Linked DNA regions of Oryza sativa Japonica Group. The protein of the gene in region 2 interacts with the protein of the main gene of each other region in a biochemical or structural test. Links are inferred from orthologs where the notes say so. Each region holds a gene or a part of one and is shown on either strand. Other genes may lie near its edges. The genes, in order: histone deacetylase 6 and WD-40 repeat-containing protein MSI4.

Region 1 (2,841 bases), on a different chromosome or scaffold from region 2:
CCTACTTCTATCTTTCTTCTTTTATCCTCTGTATGTTCACCCTCCAATCCTATAATTGCTTATCGTCTCTTGACAAGATTCCTCCCGGATGATTGTTTGCTAGCATGTATCCCCGTGGTAGTACATTGTTTATCGTCTCTCATCTTTATGAGAATGTCCTAACTACCATACCAAACAACCTAACACAAACCAACATGAATTCATCTTGATAAGGTTCCTTCCAGGTGATTGTTTGGTAGCATCTATCCCTTGCGGCAGCACATCTCTAGTGCCGTTGCAAATCACACACAAGGTGTTCAGTGTGTGTTAGCAGAGGACACGTTTTGCGTCAACACAGTCCACTGCAAGTTAAGCTACAACATGAATTATTATCCATCAGCTTTCTTGATGAACGGACCAGATTATAGCTACAGCAACGCTTCTACAGTGACCTACAGTAGCTGTTATAGTATCGAATGAATAATGTCCTTAGATTCGATCTCACAGCGGGCAGTGGAATGCATGAAGTTGCCCCCAACTACACCTGATCCGAATGACCACGCCTTTCAACGACAACGGACAACGCCTTCCAACGACCAACAATGGACAATCAACAGTTCAACACGCCTTCCAACGACAACTATAATAGCAGTTTCATTTCAAAAAATAAAGAAAAAAAAAGAAGCAGCCGCAGCAGCTATGCTGGGAATTCACTTGAACTAATTTTCCCTTCAGGCATTCTTTAATCAAAATATGAATGACAATGCGGTTCAGATGGATTTCAAATGCCACAAAAAATAAGTTTGGACAGGCTAGGGGGAACTGATTGCGGATCTGCGGTATGAGTTCAACACATCGGAGAAGTATGAACATAAAAGAACTATAAATCCATATCAGCGCAAGAATCATTCTAGCATACACTCCTCTGGCACAAACCATTTGAGGATGTGCCGCCGACTAACCAGAATTACCGACATGCTTGAAAGTTAGAAGCACCCAAAAAAGCATTCATTGTTTTGCAAAATGGTCAGGCGCAGATATCAGACATCTTCAGATACTTTCCTTGTTCTTCAGCATGCACGTACAAATCAGGAGTGCTGAGAACCAGAATCGCAGGATCTCTTCTAGGAATCATCATTCGATTCATCCTGCACGAATAACACTGAACTTTAGGCACTATGATCTTCCAAAAATAGCGCTAGCAACATACGGAGTTTTGCCATAACAAGCTGCAAGCTATTTTATTTGTTATTGCTATATACTCCCTCTATTCCAAAATATTAGGCACAACCATTTTTTTTTCAGATATTTCATAATACAAGGCGTGCATGCATGCAAATAATTAACTAGCACCTCTTCTCAACTAAATTATTGTTTTTTAAATCCTTTATCCTCAAGATCTCTAATCTTATTAGGTGCATGAATTGTATTTATTAGAGTGATCCAAACGAAGAGATGAAAATAATTGTTTCTTGGTCTTTGGGTTAAGGATGATAGTGCCTTATATTTTGGAATGGAGAGTATATGCTTGAGTGCTCACTTTGTCAATCTAAACTTAATTCATTAGTTAGATGGTTAAAATTTAACGTCAATAACAGAGAATATTCATCACTATTACGGCATCAACTAGAAATTCTCAAGAACAAAGTACACTATAGGATGGAAGAAAGATTCTCATAAGCATAAGTTCAAACCTTCATGACAGAGCTGGCAGATAAGTCATTGGTCTCAGTTTTCATGTTGTCAGGATCCTCTGTATCAGATTCATAAGCTCCTCCACTCCATAACCTACTGCGCTGAGGTGGTCTCTTGTCCATGTCCTCCTCTTCCTACAAGAGCACATTCTCAAATTTGCACAACAAAGCAAGAAAACGAATTAACAGAATAATACAAAATTATGCCAAGAGAGTAACCTGCTCTGGAGCTTCAGGATCTGATGGTCTGTCATGGAACTGAGTGCTCGGAACATGCTCAATTTTTGAGAGATGATCCAATATCATGCTCCTGCAGATCAGTCAAATGACAAAAATACATTAACCACTACAGAAAGGAAATGAACACAAGAAGCAGTGAGAAAATGGACCCTAGCAACAAAGTGCAAGGAGCGATGAAAGTGGTTTTCACATGATCTACATTTGAAAATTACAGAATATGGGAACACACTTCAAAAAGATACAGTCACAAATTCATACAGGGTAAAAAATGAAACATTAATTGAAGGTGTGAAGTTTCAGAGACATTCCAACATTTTATAGCAATGGTGATATGCTGAACAGTATAGATAGTGAATATGGAAACACCATTATAAATGACATGCTGAGAAAACTACTAAAAAACATCGCTTGAGGCACCCTACACAGAAGCTGATGGGCCAACTTATGGGAGAAAAAAAAAAGATGATTCAGCATATTGATAGAAACAGTCCACTTACTTTATGTTCTCCAGGTCTTTAGTCGAATTCAGGTTCTCCACACTTCTGGGTTGAATATGGAGATTATAATCAGGACCAAAGTACTCATAGTAGTCATTATAAGGTAACTTGTTATCAGGTTCAACTCCAACAGCAACTGCAGTCTATTGCAACAACCATATTCCATCAGAACTGTTCAGCATGAAACCAACAACTTCAATCAGTTGTACATGAAATAAGAGATAAAAGTAAGACCTCATAGCACCAGCAGCGAGCAACATTTCTGATGGTGTAACCCCCACCTCCCAAAACCATCATAGGAATATTGAATGACCTAAGGTAACGGAGGCAGTCTGCATGACCTTTCACAGACAGGTTGAAGCAACCTAACCTGTCTCCAGCCAAAGAGTCGGCTCCACACTGGAGAACAACTACATCTGGCTGATAAACCT
Region 2 (3,927 bases):
TCTCAAGTAAAAAAGACATGTTTGCCCTTCTGAGTTGTTAGGCATGTCCTAAACTTAGAAGGGCAAATATATCTTTTTTACTTGAGAGTTAACGGTCAACAGGCGAGAGTGGCATGAGAGGGTGCATAAATTTGGACCAGTGGCATATAGGGGAAGAGCCATTTTTCAGTGGCATACAAGAGATCCGACCAATTTTCAGTGGTATATAAGAGATTCTCTCTTCATGTTGTCTCTAGTCCTCATTAGTTGGCGACTATTGATTCAGAGCCCCCAATAGTTGGCGTGTTGATTTGCCGGTTCCTCACTCGATTAGTCAGCGATTATTAATTCAGAGCCCCAATAGTTGGTGTGTTGATTTGTTGGTTCGATTAGATCTACCACTTCAATCACAACTATTTCTCTGTGCTTAATCACTTTTCCGCAATATTTAGATTGAATCTTATCTTATTCTTGCAATGTTCACTCGTTTGCATTGCAGGGATCATCAACCATATGTCACGGTTAGTATGACATCGTTTGTGGTGTACCGATTTGCACGGCGTCCTCGACTTGCTCTGGTTGATAGCTACGTCACAAACGTCACACTGATCAAAGTGAGAGTTATCCTCTCACCAGAAGATCAGGCCATGAGAGAGAGCGTCATCATAAATAAACAAACACAACCTTAGTACAGATAGCTTATGCTACCATCTACTACCTCCGTCCCAAAATATAAGCATTTTTAGCTAAGAACCTGTGCTTATATTTTAGGACGGAGGGAGTACTATCAATATCAGTTCTATCTCAAGATATACTGGTTTAGTTTTTCGGACGTGTTTATATGATAGCTGTGAGTGTATGCCCTGTTCTTTTCTCCAACAACTTTTGGATTAAATTTTGGATACTCGTGGCACGCTTTTCAAACTGTTAAACGATACGTTTCGTGTGAAAAGGTTGTTCTAAAATATCAAATCAATCCGTTTTTTAAGTTTGTAATAATTAAAACTTAATTAATCACACATTATTACCACTCCATTTTGTGTGAAACACTTAATTTTAATCTTCATCTTCATCTTCAGGAGATTCAAACACCACCTTTATTTTCTTAAAAAAACCCAGTTCTATCTAACCGACATTTTACGCCCAGATAGAAATGGGCCTATCCCACACTATTCATCCGTTGGCCCAATACAAATGGGCCCAGCCCACAGCGCCGCATTTGTTTCGACCGCTTCAAGCCTTGGATGCTCTGCTCTGCCCTTGCATTCGGGCACAAGAGGGGTGGCATCTCTGAGCGGGAGCCACGCGCAAGGGTCCAGAGCAAACGCTCCTCATACGACAGAGAGAGCGTGACAGCGCGAGGGGGTTCGGAGGCGGGAGCGGGCGACGGCGGCGGCGGCGGGCGCCAGCGAGCGGCGAAGGGCGCGCTGGAGATGAAGGAGAAGGGGTCGAGGGCGGCGGTGGACGAGCGCTACGCGCAGTGGAAGTCGCTCATCCCGGTGCTCTACGACTGGTTCGCCAACCACAACCTCGTCTGGCCGTCCCTCTCCTGCCGGTAAAATTCCCCGCATCTCCTCCCTTCCTTCCTCCCTTCCGGCGGTTTCCCGCGCGTCTCGTAGCCATCGTCCTCCGTGGAGATCCATTTCGGGCTAGGGTTTTTGGGGGACTGTATCTAGGGTTTTAGGGCGTGGCTCTGCTTCGGTGACTCCAGATCTGTCGCTTGCATGGTGATTTGGCGGGGATGGCAGTGGGGTGAGGATGTCCCGGCCCCGGTTGGGATGTTAGGGTTTTTGGGACGGGGAGGTTTTGTGGGATGCGACTGTTTGTTTGAGTTTGGTGGTGGTGGTGTGTGTGTTTTTTGGGGGGGGGGGGGTGTGGGTCGATTCTTCCGTGTTCATGTAATGCTTGCTGATGCGAGTCTCCCTTCGAGATTTTATGGCTAGTGGGTTGCTGTTCGTCCATTTCTGTCTATATAGTCGATATAATAGGGTCGATTCTTCCGTGTTCATGTAATGCTTGCTGATGCGAGTCTACCTTCGAGATTTTATGGCTACTGGGTTGCTGCTCGTCCATTTTTGTCTATATAGTATATAGTCGATAATATGATTACCTGTTATGTTTTAGAGTTAGATTGTCATGCTTTATCCGTGCCTGTTCTGTGTTGAGTTGTGACATATCATCTTGTAATTCGGTTTAAAGCTGTGCATGTTGGATTCTGTCGTGCTTTTGACCTTCAATAGTGGTTCTGCAACTAACGATTTGATCTTCTCATCATTAATTGTTAACAGGTGGGGACCCCAGTTTGAGAAGGCTACCTACAAGAATCGTCAGCGTCTTTACCTTTCAGAGCAGGCAAGTGCTCCCAAAATAAGTTGTTCTTTTTCTTTCTTTTGCTGTAGGGATGTTTTGAAGCTCAAATTTATGGTGAAGTTTGAATTCAGATATGCAGATGGGTCTTCTTAGCTAGAAAATTTATGTATTCTTAGTTGGATATTAAACTTTAGCATTTGCTAACCATGTGATTGTTGCAGACGGATGGGACTGTCCCTAATACTCTGGTTATTGCAAATTGTGAAGTTGTCAAACCAAGGGTTGCAGCTGCTGAACATATATCTCAGGTTTCCACTTTTTTCAGTGACCCATTTGAGTTTGTAAAATGCAGAATCATGCTACGTTTGAGATGAATGGACATAGCTGGTCCTTTTTGCAGATTTAATTGACCCGAGGTGTCAGCTTCCCATCTTAATGTAATCATTAATCAGAGATGTGGACCTGTAGTACCAACTGATAGTTTACTATGCCTAATCTGTCTTATTAAATTAATAAAAATGTCATAACTCGAACATCTAGATTTGCATGACTTCAGTCTTGTGATAGCGGTGTATGAGACTGCCTTACATTGGCCTTAAAAAGACCTGAATTAGGAATTCCTTGCACTAACTTGAAGTCTGTTTACAATGAAACTGACCGGATGTCTCTTATTTTTTGTTGCAGTTCAATGAGGAAGCACGATCACCTTTTGTAAAGAAGTACAAGACTATAATTCATCCAGGCGAGGTACAAGCTCATTCAATCGTGATTGTTGATTTCTCTTTCCTTAACTTGAGGATCATTGCCTCTGTATGAGATCTTCCATGTTGTGTGGTGCATATATTGGCTATAAACTTTAGTGGTTTAGATGGCTTGCTTTTCTTTTGGAGATAGTGCTTGAGATGTGTCTTTTATTTGTTTAACCCCGTGTCCCCGTCAACATTTATTTAACCCAATCGTTGATGTATTGTTTCTGTTTTACCATGGACACAGGTGAACAGGATTAGGGAGCTTCCGCAGAACAGTAAGATCATTGCCACTCATACCGACAGCCCAGATGTATGCCTAGAACTTTGTAGTGCTGCCCGTTTCTTGTGATCATCAATCCCTAAGCATTTCTGTGATGGATTTGTAGACTGAAGGCTTTTTTGTTCATTTGCAGGTTCTCATTTGGGATGTCGAGGCCCAGCCAAATAGACAAGCTCAACTGGCACAGATGGAGTCTCGTCCTGATTTGGTACCACCTGACTCTCGCCCTGATTTGGTATCTTTTCTTATTTTCATTCTCAACCTATATCATTTTGAGAAGCTGAAATTGCAGCTTCATCTGGTGTATCTGCACACAAGTCCTAAGAAACTGTGTTATGGAATCATAGAATATATTGAAAGGTTTTCATCTTTCATAGTTCGAGTTCCCTTTTCACACTTGTGGCTTAGTAGCTTAAACTGTTTTGACAGATATTAAGAGGACATAAGGATATTGCTGAGTTTGCGCTTGCTATGTGCCCAGCTGAGCCATATGTGTTATCTGGAGGTTAGCAATATTTTGTCTTCTTGTATGTTTAAATCTTTCTAGTTTATACCCCTCACACCTTTTGTATTTATTCACATATTGTTCTGGTGTCAAGACTTTTTTGT

What was found.
Region 1: the proteins of WD-40 repeat-containing protein MSI4 (region 2) and histone deacetylase 6 form a complex in vitro, tested with the Arabidopsis thaliana proteins (2 studies listed by BioGRID). The link is inferred for Oryza sativa Japonica Group from reciprocal best matches to the Arabidopsis thaliana genes FVE and HDA6.

The regions. Positions count from the first base shown.
Region 1 is NC_089042.1:15,633,802-15,636,642, reverse strand, and holds the end of histone deacetylase 6, read right to left. Parts: coding exon 2,645-2,841; intron 2,554-2,644; coding exon 2,411-2,553; intron 1,984-2,410; coding exon 1,893-1,983; intron 1,809-1,892; coding exon 1,674-1,808; intron 1,128-1,673; coding exon 1,104-1,127; 3' UTR 689-1,103; downstream 1-688. UniProt on the Arabidopsis thaliana protein: Responsible for the deacetylation of lysine residues on the N-terminal part of the core histones (H2A, H2B, H3 and H4). Might remove acetyl residues only from specific targets, such as rDNA repeats or complex transgenes.
Region 2 is NC_089035.1:30,088,147-30,092,073, forward strand, and holds the start of WD-40 repeat-containing protein MSI4, read left to right. Parts: upstream 1-1,185; 5' UTR 1,186-1,223; coding exon 1,224-1,534; intron 1,535-2,267; coding exon 2,268-2,331; intron 2,332-2,510; coding exon 2,511-2,597; intron 2,598-2,973; coding exon 2,974-3,036; intron 3,037-3,282; coding exon 3,283-3,348; intron 3,349-3,451; coding exon 3,452-3,553; intron 3,554-3,747; coding exon 3,748-3,823; intron 3,824-3,927. UniProt on the Arabidopsis thaliana protein: Core histone-binding subunit that may target chromatin assembly factors, chromatin remodeling factors and histone deacetylases to their histone substrates in a manner that is regulated by nucleosomal DNA.